2 linked regions of the Tribolium castaneum genome follow. The protein of the gene in region 1 interacts with the protein of each later gene in a pairwise test. Links are inferred from orthologs where the notes say so. Each region holds a gene or a part of one and is shown in the gene's direction. Other genes may lie near its edges.

The links.
Region 2: the proteins of zinc finger TRAF-type-containing protein 1 homolog (region 1) and Ubc4 interact in a two-hybrid assay, tested with the Drosophila melanogaster proteins (2 studies listed by BioGRID). The link is inferred for Tribolium castaneum from reciprocal best matches to the Drosophila melanogaster genes CG32486 and Ubc4.

Annotation. Positions count from the first base shown.
Region 1 is NC_087396.1:18,936,744-18,947,701, forward strand, and holds zinc finger TRAF-type-containing protein 1 homolog, read left to right. Parts: upstream 1-4,339; 5' UTR 4,340-4,691; coding exon 4,692-4,895; intron 4,896-6,641; coding exon 6,642-6,880; intron 6,881-7,122; coding exon 7,123-7,334; intron 7,335-7,386; coding exon 7,387-7,547; intron 7,548-9,211; coding exon 9,212-9,414; intron 9,415-9,462; coding exon 9,463-9,490; 3' UTR 9,491-9,933; downstream 9,934-10,958. Other genes in the region: adenylate cyclase type 10, read right to left, coding at 1-187, 234-246; WD repeat-containing protein 89, read right to left, coding at 9,968-10,048, 10,097-10,288, 10,341-10,613, 10,672-10,853, 10,904-10,958.
Region 2 is NC_087394.1:31,291,789-31,302,495, reverse strand, and holds Ubc4 (ubiquitin-conjugating enzyme E2-22 kDa), read left to right. Parts: upstream 1-5,582; 5' UTR 5,583-5,938; coding exon 5,939-6,001; intron 6,002-6,062; coding exon of another isoform or gene 6,063-6,084; exon of another isoform or gene 6,085-6,216; intron 6,217-6,245; coding exon 6,246-6,398; intron 6,399-6,447; coding exon 6,448-6,530; intron 6,531-6,576; coding exon 6,577-6,740; intron 6,741-6,788; coding exon 6,789-6,925; 3' UTR 6,926-7,381; downstream 7,382-10,707. Other genes in the region: metallophosphoesterase domain-containing protein 1, read left to right, coding at 1-178, 224-488, 541-767, 1,198-1,325; Prps (ribose-phosphate pyrophosphokinase 1), read right to left, coding at 1,696-1,788, 1,844-2,401, 2,958-3,023, 5,036-5,219, 5,294-5,498, 6,063-6,084; E3 ubiquitin-protein ligase RFWD3, read left to right, coding at 9,058-9,085, 9,140-10,707. UniProt on the Drosophila melanogaster protein: Catalyzes the covalent attachment of ubiquitin to other proteins.

The DNA of each region.
Region 1 (10,958 bases):
TCATCGGGGACCAAAGACGCCATGACTTTGGTCTGTCGATCATCGATTGAAAGATCCATTACACTCTTGGACTTTTTGCTCATCATTTGGCTGTGAGATCGCCGCTCCTTCCACAATTCTGAGTCCGATTCTCTGTATGCACTTGTTCTCATGGCCCAGATGTACTCCTCCTGCCCCACCTGATTCACTGTTTTTTCCTTTATGGATGGTCACATTGTCATCATTTAACTTACTCCCTTCCATCATTTTTGAGGATTTTTCGATAAAACCGTTTATATAAGAAAAATGTAAAAATTGCCAAAAATGGCAATGACAGATGTCCTACTGGTCAAAAACAGTCAAAAAGGCAAGGAAATTTTGACATAAAAACGACCACTCCAGGACTTGAATAAAATAAAAAATCTGTAGGAAAATTGTGTTGCCTTGTTTAAGTTTAGCACCTTCGCATAATAGATAATAATATGTAAATAGCCGTTGTTGGTTATTGCACGTTTTTCTTAAAAAAATATTATGTGAAAAACCACTTGTGGCTACACAGACAGAGAATTCGTCTTGCACCAAGAATTGTGTTCTTTTTACACACTCAATTTTATTTAAATCCAAACGTTTTTTCATTAAAAAATTATAAGAAAACCTCAGTCGAAGATTCCAACTGAACACGTTATCCTACTTAAATCCCTAACATTTTTACAAACACAATTACATACATTTTACAGCCAGAGATAGGGTTTATGGGGGATTTACCTACGTAAAAGTACATTTTTACTATAGAAACTAATAACCATACAGAAACGAGAGTATATGTATACATATGATTTTTTTAGAGTTCTTCTACAATTCTTAATACTTAAAATTAATAAATATGTTGCTGATTTTTTTCTGAGTTTTGTTCTGGGCAATAATGTAAAAAATTGTCTCAAGTTTAAGTTTATTTGTTGTATAACTTAAAAATTATGAAAAATTTTACACAAAAATCTTTATCTATTTCCTGCACTATTTTTGCTTAAGTCTTTCTATGCTCATTATTGTAAAAAATATTTGCAAAATAATAGCTTTAGAACATAAAAGAAGAACTACAAGATAAAGCTTTTCAGATATTTTTTGTTTTATGTAATATTTATTTTATTATTATTACCCGAAAGATTAAAGAGTGTTCTATTAAAAACAGTAAGCAATTAAAAAAAATCAATTCCTACCATGGAATTTTTTATAAAATATGCAGCATTTATTTTATAAAAAACTTCCTCGAAGATTTTCTCAAAAATTACAAAAATATGATTTTTGTGGGTTGGTTTTCTCGGAATTCTCGGAAGCAGAAAAAGTCAAATGCCTCGAAAATGTAATTTTTGTTTTATTACTACTATTAAAATCATTTTGCTTATTATTCTAGGGGAGGTTTCAACTCCCAACCCTCAACTCGCTGTGCCACTGTTTTACACCAAAAATCTAATGAAAATTGAGAGATTTTCTATGAACTGAATACGCCTATAATTTGTGGAGGTAGATGTTGAGTATTTTAAATACTATCAAGCATACAAAATACAACCATTACTCCCAGTTTTTTATGCCATTAGCAATAAATTTTACAAAAATACGGTTAAAGTACGGTTAAAATTTAATTAGATCCAGAAATATATTATTATCATAACTTTTACCTAATTTTCTGATCTCTGAAAAGTAATAAGTAGAAAATAGCTATTTTTGATAAAATGCTACTATTTTCTGCATTATTTTTAATGAGTAAAAAGATGAAGAAACAGGCGCGAGTATTCTGTTATCCCAAATCTTTGGATTTCATTGAGTTGCTTGATAAAAAACGTAAACCTACAAACACAAATAAAAACAGCGCATATTGGATTTACTCGTAATTTTGAAAATACTTATCTACAACGTGTTTCACATAACTTTACAAGGTCTGCTCCTAATGTACGCACCCAAATATACAAAAGTCTCTAAACACTAGATACAAAAACACCATTAAATAATTATTTAATTTTTGAAAACCCATGACAGTGGTTGTCAGACAAATAAAATGACTGTTTCATTAATACTCATAAATTGCAGTTATTCACAAACAATTAACATGTGTTCTGTCAAGAGACGACATGAATATGAGTCTATTTATCTTAATCACTAACTAAAAATGTTGTAATTTACTGAAGGAGTGAATAAATTAGAGAAGGCTATCCAATTTTTTAACATTTGTAATCGAGTTCTTATCGGAATATGTATTGTCGGTGGCATTTTATATGCGCAGGCCTCGTAAAATTATGTGAAACACCCTGTACTCTGTATTGTTTTCTACTAAAATAAATGTACCTTAATTTTTTATTTTTTATAAATGCGTGTTAATTTTTGCAACAAAAAAGCAACATAAAAAATTGATTTGCGATATATTTTCTATCTAAACTGAATACCTGAGAAACAAAAAGAAAAATCTAGCGTACCAGTGTTCTTAAATTTTATTTGTATATTAACCCTGAATTAATTTTTGTTACTGAAACAGAAGTAAACACCGTCTTTATCTTCTTCATTTTAAATAAGGTAGGTGTAATGGTTTTTTAAACATCACAAAAATTTTGGAAATAGAGTTTAAAATGTGAAAATTCCGTTTCGTTTATTCTTATAAATAGCATCCAATTTTTTAAGAGATATCCTTTCCACATTTTTGGATAACTCTGACTCGATGTTTTACCAACAACATGAAAATAGTACTTAATTGCATTTTTTATTTATTTAGTTATTGTATTTTTTTATTATTTCGCCTCAAAAACATTTTTATAATATGTACGAGTAGTTAGTATCTTTTGGAATGTAGACAGTTTTAAACCCAGAAACCATTGTGTTGTGGCCTAATTGTGTACTTACCGTGTTATTTTCGTCTATTATGAAGAGAATTTGGCAAAGCATCAAACAAATGTTCATTTCTGTGAAACATCTGCCGGTTAAGCCTTGTGGTCAAACATTCATTAATCTCAATACCAAATGGAGGAAAGTAACAAAACTAAAACTGCTATTACCTACCTACCTTATAATCAATAAAACAGTTTGATCTTCCACTTTTTTAAATATAAAAAAATAATCTCGGTACCCCAAGAAATAAATGTAAAGAAAAAAAAGATAAAAATGTAACATCATTCTTCCTTTATTATTTTTATTATTATTTATTATTTTTAATAATTTCAGTAAAAATTACTTTATAAAAAATGTTTCTGTATTCTGTACTATCTGGAAATGGTAATTTCAAATTACCACTTCCTTCAGATACAGTAGAATTCGGTTATAACGAACCCGCTTATTTTAACAAATTTCCGGATATAAGTACTCTGCCAAAGTCGCATTTTACCTAATAATTCTTTTTTGAATAAGGTTGGTAAAAATGTAGAACAGTTATTATTAATGATATATATTAATGATTTTTGAGTAATGACGTAACTTTTTTGTGAAAATCGACATTTTCTATTGCTTAGGTACTGTTTTTGATGGTGCACTCCTTTATTTTTTTTTGGTAATAAAGAAAAAAATTAAAAAAAAATTTTTACCTACACAAAAAATACTAAAATGTGAAAAGTCTTATTTTGTTGTTCTTTCCTTAACTAGGTATATTTTAAGCCGATTGGCAAAAAAAAATAAAAAACAATCACCACCTATAAAATAAGGCAGGAAAGGAAGATAAAGCTTTTCAAATGTAAACAGAGCAACATATTTAATAGCAAACGCTCATTTCTCATTTCCGTGTGGTTATTACTCGTTGTTAGTTTTTAAACCCTCCATAAACTCTATCTCTGGCTGCGCCACTGGATATAACGAACTTACAATATTTTGATATATTTTTCGTTATAAACGTACACCGCTCTATTCGACAAATTTTAACCTGTTTTCAACAAAAAACCTGTGTGTTATTCATAAAGAATAAGGTAGTTTTCACATTTATAATTCAAATTTGTAGGTTTTAAGATGGGTAAACCACATAATAAAGAGAGGTCTTTTCATTCTTTTGTATATCCCAAAACTTGACAGACTCTGTCTGCACATGGTGTTACATAAAAAAATTAGTGCTTTAATTAATCAAAGCAACAGACTGAAGTAAATATTTATTTTTTCGCCGGTCCAAAAACGTATTCTTACACAAATTCCCAACATAGAAATTGCGACTTATTTTATTGTGACAAAGGTTTCTCTGTATTCAAACAAGAAATCGGGTCATACATATTTATTAATCATTACGCATACATTAGAAAAATTTGCACAGACTTCCTGGTCCAAGTCGTTATCAGCATCAAAATAGATTTTTGTCCAATAAACCTAAATTATTCCGTCAACATAATAACCCGAGATAAACATAATCAGCTTTAATCTCCGCCGACCATTAAGTAAAACGTAAACACCATGCGTATTACCATAAACAACCCAACGCAAGGTTTCTAATGTTTTGGTCGGCTCTAGACCATCAGCTGATTCACCTGAGCCCACCATTCTTTGTTGTCCAAACCAGCAGCTGACTGTCATCCCCTCCACACCGCGTACGTCACACCCCAGCCGGCCAATCAGACCCCGAGCTGGGGCATTCCGTGGTGGGGAGGGCATGTCAAACTGAGGCGTCACGTCAGCTGTTTTCTGGTTATGTGCGAGGTGTAGAGGTAGACAGGAAGTCAGCTGTTGTGTGTTTAACTTGGAACGCATTCACCACAATGTCGGAAGCTGAGGCGACGACGTCCACCACGGACTCCACGGAGCCGGAGAAGATCACTGAAGACCTGCTCGAGCCGGAGGCGAAACGTCGCAAAACCGCCGCCATACAGCAGGACGAAAAGAAGTACAGGCTCGAGGAGAGGCTGGGAGGAATTCTCTGCTGCGCAGTTTGCCTAGACCTGCCCAAAGCCGCCGTTTACCAGGTAAGTGCCTTTGCCTCCTGCAGATTTCCCTAGATTACGTAACACTACGTCTTTGTCCCGTTCCGCTGCGCTCCTGTATTGATTTTCAGGACACTGCGGCTATATTTAAACGCGTTCAAGGGCCGAGGCTCGGGGTCTCCGCTCGACCTCCATTATGCTTTATCGTGGTTTTGCGCACAATTTTTACCAATTATTGTGTGCCAAACCATGGGTTTATCTCATCTACTCTTTTTGTTTTACCACATTTGTCTGCGTCATCCTCAGTTTGTAATTAAATACTATTGTACTTTTTTCATTGTTACAATGTAGAATAGTCATTTTTTGTAACTGTGATACTTAAATAATAAGACTCTGGATGTGATAATTGATAACTACTTTAACGAGTTCTTCTATTTTATAACAACGATGATTTTTGGTTCGACGTTGCAAATAAATGTATTATTAAATTTATATTTTAGTCATTATTCATATTTAGATATAGTATTTATTTTCCCCATCCTGTCCCATTTCTTTGTTGGTTTCGAAAAGAGCACAAGATTTTTATTTAACCACGAAATAAGAGAGGTAGGTAGCGACGACCAAGGCTGGGTTACTAGTAATTTTTACAAGTCACGAAATGGCACCACTTTCGATTAACATTTAACCCTAAGTTAATACTCTTTGGAAAACACATTTTCCATACGATTTAACTTGAAAAGTTAAAGTTAACCATAAGCGGTCACGCCACTTAAAAAGTTCAATCAATGCTATTTGAACAATGGTAGAGAAGGTAACGTAATGGTAAAATAAAGTAGCACCACCAGGGGCGGATCCAGAATTTTCATCAGGGGGTGAAATGTGAGCCTGGATAATCCACCATAAAACGTAAATTTTTTTGAATGAAAGAATTACTGCCCTTTCAGAAATCTGAAATATTTTCCTCACAATGCAATAAGTTTAAATTTTTAGAGGTTCAGTTATTAAAATCGTAACTGGTCCAATTTGTTCTACAAAACGTTTCTCAATTATTAATTATTGCCAAGAAATAAATTTGTAGATTTTAGGTCCAAGTCGTTATCAGCATAATAGATTTGTCCAACAAACCTAAATTATTCCGCCAACATAATAACCCTTGATAAACATAATCAGCTTTAATTTCCACCGACCATTAAACATTTTTGATTTTATGCAGAATAAGTAATAAAAAAAAATATTTACCTATTGTGTTTGTTTGCTTTCAATTGCTAATTTGCAAAATTTATTTACAAATAAGTTAAGTACAATATTTTTTACAACGAATAACTCAAAAGAAAATTTGGTAACTTGGTTTTTTACTGATGTGACTAAATTTACAAAATTGAATTATATATTTAAGTGATTTCAACTAGTTTCGAAAAGGCTGCCGTGAGATTATAAGAAACAAGTAGAAGTGTTGTTAAATGAAACCAAAGTGTAGTTGGTGAAGCGTATTGGGGGTTTTGGATCCGGCCCTGGCGCACCGCCGCTCTCACTCAATGTGGTCAGTTGGCAGAGGGTAAAAATTTGAGTTAGAGCGGTGGCGAGTATATTCGTTGAGTACATACAGCCTTATTGATAAAATTTATGTTAGTTCCAGGATATGAAGAGGATTGGTAAGTGTCTCCAAAGCTTAATTAATGTCTGTGGGGTGGGAACAAAACATTTCGAACAATTTCACACAAAAAACTTTTTTTGAAGGATGAGACGTTTCGAAGCCATTACAGTATATTTTATGTGCGTGTATTGCAGTGCAGCAATGGTCACTTGATGTGTGCCGGATGTTTCACGCACATCCTCGCCGATGCCCGTTTGCGTGACGAAACGTCAACATGTCCCACTTGCCGCGTGGAAATCTGCAAGACATTGGCGACGAGAAATTTGGCTGTTGAAAACGCCGTCTCGGAACTACCCTCCGAATGTCAGTTCTGCAACAAGCAGTTTCCGAGGAATTCCTTGGAAAAGCACGAAGACGAGGAATGCGAGGACAGGTTTATTTCTAACACAACTTTTAGTGCAGGCGCTAGACGCTTTCAAGTGCGCAAAATATAACAACCGGCAACTGTATCCCAAAACAAATAAAACGATAGAAAAAATATAGACACAAGATACAAATGAATGAATTCTGTGTTTATATCAGTTATTGACACGATGCGGTTGTCATACGTTGCACGCTCATTTCTTCTAGCGTCTCGTCTCATTCGGGGACGATAACGAGTGTTTTTCTGTGCAGAATTTCAGGTTGCAAGTACCACAGGATCGGGTGTCCGTGGAGAGGACCAGTGCATGAAAGGGCGCAACATGAAAAAGAATGCGGACATCCGCATAAGTCTGGGGCGGAAGTTATGGAGGCTTTGGAAATACTCGATCAGCAGCTGATTGAAGAAAGAAAACTATACAAGACGATATTTGAGTTGTTGGGTTACGATAAAATTACTTTTAACGGTACAATTCAAAAACTGATGTCCATTGTTGTATTGATGGATTTTTATTGCAGATATTCAGTTGAAGCCGTATCGTACCGACGATTTTGTCCATCGATTATTTTATGAATCATCGCGATTTTCGGCCTTCAATAATCAGTGGGTAGTCAAAGCTAAAATTAGTGATAATCAGAAGGACCCCACACAAAGCTCAGAACGAGATATGACTTATCAGGTACTGAAAATTTATTATTATGAGTATCATTTTATTTGTTTTGGCGCGATTTAATCAGAAAGTCTTGATTAAGATAAAATATGTATGTAAATAATAATATATTTCCACCAGATCTAATTTGAAACAGTCGTAATTTAACAAAAAAATTATCTTTCTACAGCTTTAAAATAATTCATTTTTTTATCATTCACCACTAAAGACTGGATTTTAGGACCTTTACATATGATAACAAAAGACAGTGAAAGTATAAAATAGGACTTTATAATAGGAAAATAAGTCTTAAGGTCCTATATCAAATACTTGATAAAAACAAACAAAAAAATATTAAAACATTTGTTCGCATTATTAAAGCTTCTAAATCCAAAATAAAAAATATATATTTTTTACAACCCCTCCGATAAGTGCTAGTATATTAATAAAATTTGGTAATACAAAGAAACTGTTAGGATTGCTTTAGCAGCAATTATTATGTAAGTATGCATTTATTATTTTTGTTTAAATATGCATTTCATTGATATTTATCTCCCTTTTTCCTATTAACTACTACTTTTGAGGTTTAGTTTTTCAGAGACCCAAAAAGTCATAGATATTGGTCGAAATCGGAATACGTCTTCATAGCTAGACCCAAGAGTCAGAAACTGATTACCTCTTTAAAAGATTTAAAAAAACTTTTTGTGTTTAAAAAATTGAAAAAGATGACAAAATCATGATTTTAAAATAAATAGAATCCAAAAGGCATGTTTTCCCAAGTCTAGTCTTTATTCATTACAGATATCCTAGAAGAATTTTAAAAATGATTTATTTGGAAAAAAACAAAATTTTGACCTTTTTACTCGCGTGTTTAATCTTTTTTTGCATAAAATAGGTGTATTAGATGTTCCAAAGCTATAAAAACGCCAACGTCGCATTTTCTCTTAAAATTAGCTATTATAAATAATTAGTGCACTTTAAAAAAGTAATACCTAATATAATTTACACTTTTCATCAGAGATCTAATCATTAATAACTATTTTACAATTATTTAAATCTTCTTTTAAAAAAAATAATTTGGTAAAATGCGACGTTACTTAACGTGCTTTGTTGTCTGTCTGCCTGTTTCATATTTTCCGAGCCAAATTTTTAGAAGGTTTTTGTTCGAATGAATTGAAATTTCGCATACTTACGTAATCTTCGTGACAATGCAATTCTACTATAGTTAATTACCCCCTAAAGATGGGGTTTTAAAGTTTTAGATTAAAAAGGGTTAAGCTAAAAAGCACACTGCTAACTCACTTGGAGAAATATATTAATATTTAATCATGTTCATTACGTTTTGTTATAAAGAAATGTCGCTAATTTTTTTATCTTTGATGACAAACAGAACAGAAGTTAGGACATGCTGTCAAATGCTAACATTTGTTTTCTACCACATACCACAACAAATTCACAAATTAGCAAAGTAATGGTGTTACAACGTAGTGAAACTGCAACTAAAGACAAACACAATTAGAATAAGTAAAAACTTAAAAGCAAATAAATAATATTTAAAAAAATGTTTTTTAAAAGACATTTTATCTTTTTTTTTTACAAAATGTGTTCTAACTCTTGTGTCTGATTTTATGTCTACTTCATGTTTAACCTCGAATTCTCGAAGTTTACTTATTTTATTTTGTTTTTTTTTTTAGTTAATCCTGAAATCAAAAACATCTACCCCCTTGAGTTTGAGTTACATCGTCTTACGAGGTCCTGTCGGAGATGTGAAGATAAATCCTCGAGTCTACAATTTCGATTTCACAGAACAAGAAACCGAAACTCCCTACGAACACTTTCCCCTACCAGACACAGCTGAATGTAATCGTTTACTAGCAGCAAAAACAATTAATTTCAGGTACTGTATTGCGTCGTAAAAATTCATGTTTCTATTGCTAATTTTCAGGTTAATCATGTTTTTGGCCTCAAAATAAGTTATTTTCGCATCGTCGCACCCAAAATTCTAGTTCGTATTTACTTATTCTGACCCTCATTTTCTTTTTTTTTTTTTGGCTGAATATACTGGAATGTCTATTTAAAAGAAGTTTGTATTTTGATTAAGTTAGCTGAAGATCTCTATAGAGTTTAGGAGTTTTTATATTTAGATCTTTATTTTATACATTTTATATATTTTTGGATTGTGAGATGTTTTTCGTTTTACAATAACATTTGTTTTGTTACCAACATTTGTGTGTTGCCATTATTTTTAGTTTAATTTTTTTTTGGAAACGTTTTAATAACATTGTGTCATTTTATTTAACTAATGGCTTTTGTCACTGTCATTCTCAGCATTATAAAGGTAGCATAGAATAAATTAATTTATATATTCTTAATTGTAAGAAAAGGGATATTGGTAGAAATTAAATGTTCAAAAATGCTCAACTTACTTTTATTCTTTTCGTTCAGAAAAATCACCCTCTTTCACACTTTACAGTGGTGACATCCCACACATTTAGAATTCCCTTTTCTCCACCAGTCAACAACAAATTTATCTAAAATCCAAAATCAAAACGGAACAAAACCACTGTCAAAAAACTTACATTCAAATTGGACCAGCTGGAACGAACTCGCTGCTTATTTGCGGGGAATCCCAGAGCTGGTTTTACAGCATTGCCAACTACCGTTAATCCTCTAAAACATTCTCCGTCGCAGTAATTAGATCCCGCCAATACCAACATACTATTAGCACCACCATGTACGTCCACAATGTACACATGTTCTTCCGATTTCCTCTAAAAATGTTTGTTATTTGCATTTTAAATTATTTCAATCACAATTATTTACTTTAATTTCTTTAGCAATTTCAGTTCTGTGTAAATGAAAATAGGGCTGGGAGTCTTCTACTTTCCAAAATTGTACGTCAGCTGTGTGAGTTACACAGCTTATGATATCGTTTCTTCCTTGTTGAAACCAGGCCAGTTTTTCAATTGATGATTCAGTATTTAACGAATCAATCAACGCATCCTCCTCATTGTTTTCGGAGAGATCGTACAAATTTATCAAACCATCTACTGACCCCGATATCAATTTGTTCGAATCATCTGAGTGAAATTTGAGCTAAATAATAATGTAATTAATTATAAAAAATTAAAACATGAAACGAAAAGTGAAGTACCTGCGTGATATCGTCAGTATGTGATTCCCAATAGCCCCCCAAAAGCGAATTTTTCCTAACATCCCAGAACAAAATGAAAGAATCGCCTTCAAACAAATTCGTGCCTGCCGCTAGCAATTTATTATTTGGCGAAATATCGAAACAATTAAATGATTTAATTGTTCCATCTTCAACAGTTGTGTCTATGCGTGAAAAAAAAGGCAATTGAGGCAACTTGAAGGTCAAAACTCACCTTTAAATTGAAGAGAGCTTCGTTTTGGTGCCCGAATATCCCAAAGCCTTACAGT
Region 2 (10,707 bases), on another chromosome or scaffold:
AAGTCTCCCTCAAAACCTGTGGAACCAAATAAAGTACGATTCGTTTGTATGAGCGACACCCACTCCCTTATAAGAAACCTGGTGTTCGACGTACCCGACGGCGATGTGTTCATCCACGCTGGGGATTTTACGAAATGTGGCCAGAAAGAGGAAGTGATGCAGTTTAATAAATGGCTAGGTGGGTTGTGCTGGAAAATTTATCATTCTATTTGCCTACTTCCAGTATCTTTGCCCCACAAACACAAGATTGTAATCAGCGGCAATCACGAATTGAGTTTCGATAAAAAATTCTCTGATTATTTCAAAAAAACGGCGAGTGCAAGACACACCGGATCACTCGAAGATGAAGTCCCCAATTATGGCAATACGAAAGATAACATCAGTGATGCAGTCAATACTGATAACATCAGGCAGTATTTAACAAATTGCACGTATTTGGAAGATTCGGGGATTGATATTTATGGCATAAAACTGTACGGAACTCCTTGGTAATTTCACGGAATTTACGTAAAACAATAAAATTTGTGTAAATTATTACAGGCAACCTGAATTCGGTGGCTGGGCTTTTAATTTAGAGAGGGGTGAAGAGTGTCTTTCCAAGTGGAATTTGATTCCAAACGATACGGACGTTTTAATAACTCATACGCCGCCTCTGGGGTTTGGCGATTTGGTCTGTTCGGGGGTTAGAGCTGGATGCGTAGAGTTGTTAACGACGGTCCAACAAAGGGTCAAACCCAAATATCACGTTTTCGGACACATACATGAAGGCAAGTTAGTTTACACTCAATCTGTATTTCAACCAATTTGAACATTTATCTAAATTCCAACCTACTTGAAAGTTCAATGTTTGTTTATTGTTCTGCTGTAGAGGTGGATTAAGCGCCTGGCTAATTTCCAAAACTCGATAAGTTTAAGTTAGAAACAACTACAACAGAGAACGTGAATGATAATTGTAGTAGACTTCTAAATTTTGCCGTTCGTCAAAAACTAAAGTGTTAGAATATCCTCCCAGAAAATTGTTATTCCATAACAGTCGTAGGAAGTGTTTCGACGTTTCGATTTTTTAATAAAACTTTGTCAAGGTTTTTTTCTTACAAAATTTCATTAATTAATAAATCAAACCATCGGTAAAAATTCTCTTCAGTTAGGTGCCACCTAGAGAAGAAACTCATTTTACCGCTCCTTTTATTTCGCCAGGTTATGGAGTGTTCTCGGACGGAAAAATCATCTATATCAACGCTTCAACATGTGATATTAACTATATTCCAAAAAACCTACCTATAGTTTTTGATGTTCCTTTACCAGAAGGCCAGTCGAAACACTAGGTTAGTATCAATCGAAAACGCTTTTATAATCTATTTATTGTGTATATTTAAGTTCTTTTATACAAAATAATTTGCAAAAAAATGTATAGAGAAAGCTCGTGTCTTTTATTTCTTGTACAAAAATAAGCCATAATTATATACACTACAAGACCATTTCGAAATAATAAAAAAATATTTTATTGCAAGAACCTAATTGTAATTAGCGTAAATATTATGGCATGCACCTGTAAAGGTCTAAATTATAATTTAAAAAAATATGAATTTGTATCTCATCATCAATTAGTTATAAAGAAATAAAACGAACATCTTCTACATCTGAGGATTTGCAGTACAACCTAACACTTTTATTATTTAAAATAATAAAAATGGGTTAATAAGGAACATTCGAGAATAGGTACGATACTGATTCGCCATTGTGCGTCCTCCTCACCGCCTCAGCGAACATCATGGACACATCAATGCACTAAAAAACCAAACAATCATCAAACTTGTGATTTGTGCCAAATCGCACAACTCACCTGGATTTTCGAACAATCCTTCATATGCCCGTCTTGTGGAATCGTATTAGTGACAACCACAGCCTCAAAGCACGCGTTATTAATCCTAGTTATGGCAGGTCCGGAGAAAATCCCATGCGTCAAAATCGCGTAGACTTTCGTAGCCCCAGCTTCGGTCAACTTCTCGGCTGCGTGGCAGATCGTGCCGCAAGTGTCGGCCATATCGTCGACCAGAATAGCAACCCTGTCTTTCACGTCTCCGACGAGCACCATCGAGGCCACCTCGTTGGCCTTCTTCCTCTCCTTGTGGATGAGGGCGAACTCGACGTTGAGTCTGTCGGCGATGGAGGTGACCCTCTTGGCGCCCCCGGCGTCCGGCGACACTATTATACTGTTCCGCCACTCGACAATGTTCTCCTTGATCCATTTCAACACCGCCGGTTCGGCGTACAAATTATCCACCGGGATGTCGAAGAAGCCCTGGATTTGCGACGCGTGCAAGTCCATGGTGATGATGTGATCGGCCCCCGCCACCGAGAGCATGTTCGCGACCAGTTTGGCCGAAATTGGGGCCCGACTCTGTTGAGCAAAGGTTCAAATTGGCATGCATTGGGCCGAGGGCGAGGGACCTAACATGTTAAAAGCTAAACAAAATTCCCAAGCCACTATCTAGCTAAATTTTCAATTAGTAAAATGACATGTCGGGTTAGTTAATAAGTCTTCGGTATTATTATTATTATCGCATGGTTTCAAGATCATTACATCATTTTTCGGATGATAATTTTTACCCAACAATAAACAGATAAACAAAAGTTGACTTCTGACTCCTGAATGTTTGTTACACGATAATAATGACTATTTCGTCAATGTAAAATTGTTTCACAACAGTACGTTTCCCCTTCGTTTTGTAATCCTGGCATGCAGTTCCGGGAATCATATACAGCGTGTCGCAATTACGCGCCCATTTATGATTTTTTTATTATTATTTGTTAATTGCGACGTATGAACGCTGTGTTTTGTATCAGTGTTATTAACAACGTACAAAGCTAGTCTAACTCTGGCGTAAAAACATGATTTTCAGACGACACTTTCCCAATAAGCCCCTGCAACATTCACAAAATTTAACAATTTTTACCCTGAATTTCCATTCGATTGACTTCCATTTTTCCACGTTGCGTTCGACGTCATTTTTATTCGCAGGCTAAAATAATCTCGTATCAGGTAAGTGTGTATGTGAATGTACGAAGGTGTAAATCTACTTTATTCTAATCGAATGATTTCAGTTAAAATTAAATTTTATTTATGGGAACTACGTTGCATAAGAGAAAAAATTGGAAATTTGTCAACAGAAACATTGAGAATACGAAAAACAGGTGCAATTATAAATAAAAATACACTTTACATAAGTTTCTTTCAACTTTTTAGAAAAAACTTCAATCTCTGTCACGTTAGAAAAAGTCAAGAATCATAATAATTAGAGTTTAATTATTATCACGATAGTGTAAGTAGTTCAACATTATTACATTACTTGATCTACTCTTGAAATATAAAACTATTTAAAGCAATGCATTTTGCTAAACATTCCACTATTATCAGTTTATAAACACACATGAACCCGAACTTATTGACGTATTTCCGACCATTTCAACTATTTTTAAGTTATGCTAATTAGTAATAGATATACAGAATCTTAATTAATTAAGAGAACTGTGGCTAGTTCCTCGCTTAGACGTCATTGAAAGCAAAAGTGGTTTTGCTACACAGATAAGGAACCAATAAAATATTTTTGTTCAAATTACTCAATAAATTGTAATAAACAAATATTTGAGGGGGAAAACAATTAGGGCAGGCCAGTTGGGACCTGCACTAAGAACACCCCGAATTAAAATGATAATATTTTAATGTTACTTAAAATTGCACTTGAAAACTGCCACAAGCAAAGAATTCCATTTACCTGGAACTCTTATTATTTCAAAAAATTACTGAAAGAGATAAAGATATTAAAAAAATCGTGATCAAGTGTATTGTAAATTTTTTTGTAAACGTATGATTTCTCTAAATTCGTTTGCTTAGTCCTGTGACAATTCAAGATAAAGGCGGTTGGGTAGAGCAGTAGAATGATGCACATGAAAAATAGTTTGTTAAAGAAAAATTTGGTCTTTTGAAGGAAAAGTAACACGTAATGTAATTTAGACACGTTTTGAAATCATTATTTCAGTAATTAAAAAAAATTTAATAATTTTTCTCGAAATCTGCTCTTCAACTGTAGACTCCCCACTAGTTTTTTTTATCTTGTTATTATAATACATAGTACCAATCAATCATTTGAATTTATAATTAGAGTAAGTTTTTATGGCTTCTTTTCTTGTATGGCAAGGCTGATTATTATAATTAATAAAACTGAAGAGTCAGTTAATCAAATTTCGAACGGTAATATTTAATTAGACCACGTTTTTGCCTCTAGATTACCAACTACATAAGAAAAAAACGCATACATTCAAATGAGTACATGTTGACAAAAAATCTATTGGCATTATTGAGCTATTGGTCATTCTTCTAATTTGTTTCAGGTGATGGCTAGGCATGGAAGTGTATATTATTTGTATAAAATTTTGAATTTGATATTTAAATACTGGCAAACCTTAATCACACAATCACTTAGTATTTATTATGATAAGAAATAGACTTATTTTTCCACTTTTGTGTCAAGAAAAACATCAATAAAATCTAAAAGTACACAATAATTGTAGTAATAAAAAGTAACAAATTAAAGACTGTCTTTGTTAAATGGATATAGCAAAATCACTTTTAATAGTGCAGTTACATTTATTATGCCTTTGCTAATATTCTAGTAAAAAGCCTTTATGACTATTTAACACATCATAAATCATATATTTCTTAAGCAAAGCAAACATGTTTGAAATACTTAAGTCGCGGCAGTGGCGCCCTCTCAACCACGTGCTCCTTTTGCCGACCTAACGGTAAACAAATTGTTTCAAATTAATAAACTACGTGGTCGGATTGAACTTGTCCAATTATTAAACCAGATGCTTGACTAATTTGTCAGGTCAATAGGAAAAACCACAACCCTAATTGTCCTAAAAACCAAAACTACGGTCTCCACAAACCCGCTTGCAGATGTATACAAAGTCACGTGGCGTCTAGGTTATCTACACATGTGCAGGTACACAATTGGAGCAATTGTGCACTCACCTTGTCCTTCTTGTCTTGCCGAGCGTACGGGAAGCATGGAATGACTGCAGTGACTCTGCTCGCGGACGCAATTTTGCACGCATTTATCATGATGAGGAGTTCCATCAGGTTGTCGTTAACTTCCCCGCTGCCCGACTGCACGATGTACACGTCTTCCCCACGGACGGACTCCCCAATTTCCACGCTAAAATAAAATAATAATAATAAGTCGCAATTTAAGCCAAGTCAATAAGCAAATAATTTCCAAAGCCCACTCACCATGTTTCCAAGTTGCTGAATTTCTTCGTAACCACTTTGCCCAAGTCGATCCCCAGCCGGTCCACGATCCTCTGGGCCAGGTCGGGGTGCGAGGTCCCGCTGAAGACTTTAATGTTCGGCATTCTGCTCTGGAGGATCAACGAAGACTTTTCCAACTTTGCCCGCAACAAGCTTTTAGCACGTACGGGCTGGGAAACGGGCATAACTGCAAAACGCGCAGCCAATCAGAAGCGGGGTCTAATGTTATCGGCAAACAACGCTCCAGAATGATAAACCTTGTGACGAAATACTCCCTGCTTATCGAAGATTTCCGTCGAAAATATCGCCGAAATTGTCAACAGAAATCGCGCGGGGGGGCCCTTACGTCATCGTTGCAGCAGTCCGAGGGAAAATCCCCGAATATTTGCGAGATTTCGGCCGATTTGGCGCGCGCGTAAATTCCGTAAAGTTGGCTATAATGCTATTGAAAACAAGTGACATTTCTTCATTTAGCATTTCATAATTTGCCTAACTTCAGTGAGAAATTAAAAGTGTGAAAATCGATCTTTAGCCAGTGTATTTTTTACTTTTGTCAACAAATCGCTATTTTTTAGAGCCACGGTTTATCTGTTATGTTTTACTGCATTTAGGAACTTCCCCACCAGAATGGCTAACATAGCAGCACAAAGGATACGACGAGAGTTTAAAGAGGTTATTAAAAGTGAAGAGGTAGGAACTTCGCAAACACTGTTTTTCTGTTATGTCATTCTAACTCCTAAACGCCACTTACCGTTCTCGGTTTCCTCGGACATTTCGAATTTTCACACTTGAAATTGTCAGTACACAACGTAAAATATTGATTACTGAAAAATGCCCCCTGCCATAAATTCAAAGCGAAGGGGTTATCACTCCAACGTCATTTCGTAACAATCAACAAACTTGGCTAATACGATCGTGCTTGTTTGAAATTTAGGTAGCAAAATGTGCCATCAAAGTGGAACTCTTAAATGATAGTTATACAGAGCTCAAAGGCGAGATCACGGGCCCCCCGGACACGGCCTACGAAGGGGGCACCTTCGTATTAGAGATTAAAGTACCTGAAACATACCCCTTCAATCCACCCAAGGTACGTTTCAACATAACCAGGAAAAAAAAGACTAAGAGTTTTGTAACAGGTCAGGTTCATTACGAAGATATGGCACCCGAATATATCATCAGTAACGGGCGCTATCTGCTTAGACATTTTAAAGGACCAATGGTGCTTTCTATTACGTGGTAGTATTTGTTATTAAATGAAATTCTAGGGCTGCAGCTATGACGCTGAGGACGGTGTTGTTGTCGCTCCAAGCGCTGCTCTCAGCTGCGGAGCCCGATGACCCACAGGACGCCGTGGTGGCGAAGCAGTTTAAGGAAAATATAGAAATGTTTCAAATGACGGCCAGACATTGGACAAATGTTTACGCAGGCGGTAATTTATGCAGTTTGCAATTAGGACGGCGTGACGCTCTGTTTGCAGGTCCCCATGTAAATAAAGAATGTGACGATAAAATAAAAAGGCTAGTTGATATGGGAGTGGAGGAGCACCAGGCGCGGGTCGCTTTGTCGTCGTATAACTGGGATATAGAAAGAGCAACTGAACAGTTATTTAGTTAGTGAACTATTTTAATCCGCCATTTTACTATATTCTCTCTACACTTTTCCAACAGTTGGTTATGAAACGCAGTTTCATTTTCTACCCAATAGATTACTGACTTAAATTATTTTGAAGGTGTACAAGATGAATAAAAGGATTGTTTGCATTTACCTTATGTCTCAGTAATCACTATACGAAAGTCTTGTTTTGGCTCTTGCGAACTAATTTCAACTTTTGTCAATATTGGTGTTTGAAATTTATTGATGTTACTGATGCTTATCGTTAGTTCTTTCGAGTACAAAGTCTTTCAATTAATTACGGTTTATTCTTGCTAGTGAAAACCACCAGATTAGTTTTTTAGCACTTCAAGTATGGTAATTGAATGAAATGCTTTGTATAACCACTTTCCAATTAGTTACTGTTTTTATTTGTAAATCGGCGATTGAATACTGTTAAAATAAAATTTTAATCTTGAATATACAGGCACTGAGGTGAGTTACAACCCTAAGACAATCCACGTCCATTTGAAACTCAAATACTCCATGAAAATAAAAGTTGCGCATTAACTCTTAATTTATGCACTGATTATGCAACAGATTTACATAAGTAGCACCACGAAAGGTCGAGACTCCTTCGGTACTATTTCAAAATAGATTTAAATTCAATTACAATCACCTATTATTAGTCCAGTCATTGAATAATTTCAATGGTCCAGTCAAATAAGCCTGTAAATCGAAATGTTCAAAAGCTCGCTTTTTTTATATAAGTTACATGGAGCAGTTAAAAACGTTTAGACAAAGAATTTTTTAGTTGAAGAAACGAAATTAAAGCGTTTTTTACAGATTATTCAAAATCGCTGAAAGCTAGAAAAAAAAGTTTTAAACAAAAATTGTAAAGCCGAAAATTTTGCATAAAAATGTTCACTTGACTGTTTTTGATATTAATATTAACAGAAAGTTAGGGCGGTTAAAATAATATACATATACTGTAAAATCTTGTCATAACACTTGAAAAAAAGGTTGTTTTTTGTTAGTATTTTGGCATCGCTGCGAACATCTTTAGCTTTTTTTGCAAAATTTTTATGAAAACCTATTCAAATTACACCAAAAATTAAGGGTTTCTAGTCTTTTATAAGCAAGAATTCCTAGGAAATCTGGGCTTATTTTCGACCAAAAAAGAAGAAAAATTGGCGGAAAATGTATGGTTTTTCCCGTTATCTTAATTTTTTTATCTAATTAACATGTTTTAGAAATTTTTCGAAAAAACGAAGATTTTCGGTAGTTTTTATTCGAAAAAAAAAATCAGGTAGATACATTCTGTGTTTTTGGTGGCAACTTAAAACATATATAACAGGACATAAGTGTAAAAACCTAAACCCGTCCTGGCTAAATCAGGACGGTTGGTAACCTTAGATTAAAAGTAATTTGTTAATTTATCATTTTTAGAAATATGCTGCGATTTCACCTCGAGCAGATTTTGCGGTAATTTTATATTGTAATAACTGTGAGTGTTCCAGATATTGAAATGATTCTTACATGAAAAACTTATTTAAGTTATTAACTTCATTTCATATCGAAAAATTCATTACACAGGACGTTACAAGAAAATGTAATTTTTAGTTTCTTTTTATCAAAAGTCAACCTTGTGTAAATACGTAAAACTGCATTATTTACGGTGGAATCTTTTACAAAAAAAATAAATTTCTAGCTTTATCCAGAAAGAAGATACGGGATGTAATCGCAAAATTTGTCCAATGTTAGGTTTTTGTAAATTTTTACTAAAAAGTCTTTTTGACCCCTTCTCGGGAGTTGGAACAACCTTTGTGACTCCACAGTAATATAAAAAACGCAAGTTTTTTCCAACTTTTCGATTTAAAGGCTTATTTGACTGCCAGCAGGGAGGAAGTTCATAATCGTGAATTATTTGTATTTTTTATTTTTATCAGTTATCAGATGAGTTATTTTTCACTTAGTGGTTACGAAAAATCCGCAAAAACATTTCCGTGTGGTTATTTTTGCGTAAAAATCTTATGCAAGGACGTGAAGGTCGTTGACGTTGAAACGTCCTTGAGTTTGACGTCGCCATTTGACATTGACAGGATAGTTTTTTGAGGTTAGGTTGTAAATTTATTTGAAAAAAAACCCAAAAAGTAATGAACTTGGATGACTACAACCACGGAGGTAACCATAAACTCGTTATTCCGTGCGAATTATCACACAAGTCAACCGTTTCAGAAAATGAGATGGAAGTTGAAGGCTCTGAGGACTACCCCTTGCAGATAATCTCCCCGCGCGTGGAGGAGATCCACCCCTTAGCATTAGTAGCAATAAACGTAGATAATAACGAGCCCCCCGCCACCTACAACGACGTGGGGTTCCCCCTAGTGCCACAAGCCAACGAAATCGAAAGACTGTCCCCCACCGAGTCAGTGGCGAGCACCCCCCAGACCTTCGACGAGGAGAGCAACCAGTCGCGAAAGCGCACCTTCGAGGACGAGGAGCGCGAGGAGGACGGCTCCGTGTGCCCCATTTGCCTGGACGAGTGGACGAACACGGGCCCCCATCGGATATGCGCCCTCAAGTGCGGGCACCTGTTCGGTGAGCAGTGCATCACCCGGTGGCTGAACCAGAACTCGCGCAAAACGTGCCCGACCTGCAAGGAGAAGGCGCGCCGCCACGACATTCGCTACATTTACGCCAAAAAACTAACAGCAATTGATACAACTGAACTGGACAATATCAAAAAACAGCTGGACTCGGTGACCGAACAGCGCAACAAGTTCCAGACTGAGTTGGCCACGTGCGCCTACCGCGAGCAGTTGCTGAGGCAGGAGATCGCCCAGCTCAAGACGCAACTGAGGCAGAACAATGTTCCTACTTTCAACCAGCCCATGGTGGAGCGCGTCAAGCTGTACATGGACAAGGCGATGGAGATTTGCAAATTCGGCGGAAGCCGGGTTTTTGACGCGCGCTGCGAGCTGGACCTGCTCATGGCTTCGATGAAGTCGCCCACGAATTTGTTCGCCGGGTTCGGCTTGAAAAAAATAAACATTTCGGGGTACAGAACAATCGCGTTCATTCCAGTCCATACGTTGCAAATTAGAGACATTTGTTTCCACAAGGAACAGAACTGGGTGCTTACAGCGTCCATGGACAAGACCTTTAAGGTCATAAACAACCACGAGAATTCGGTTGTCCACCAATTCACCCATCAAATGCCCCTCTGGTCATGCTGTTGGGACGAAAACAACCCATACGAGCTATACGTAGGGACGCAAGCTGGGTCGGTTATAAAATACGACATTCGGCAATTAACCGAGGCCGTTTGTACCTTTTCCATAGAAGGGGACATGTCTCCGGTGGTTTCAGTCGCGTCGATCCCGGCAGCCCCGGGCGAAGCCCTGGCGCAAGGGGGCGTCGTGTCCTGCAAGTTGAACTCGCTCTGGCTGTACGAGAACGCGAATGGGGAGTACAAGAGACACCCGATTTCCTTAGAGGGACCATTCGTTTCAATGAAATACCAAACAAACACAAAGCAATTGTTAGTGTCTTCTAGGCCCAATAGTCGAATTACGTACGCGAGGCATACTTTAAGTACCTTGGCGAGGAATGAGGGGAAAATTGACTGCAATATTCTGCACACGTTTCAAGGGGGCGGCATGCAGAAGTTGCTATCAAAGTCGTGTTTTTTGTCGCATACGAGTGATTACGTTGCTGCCCACCAGGAAAATTGCAAGAGTGTGTTCTTGTGGAGCATCAATACGGGGCAAAAGGTTTGCTCCGTGACGGCGCACGAAAGTGTT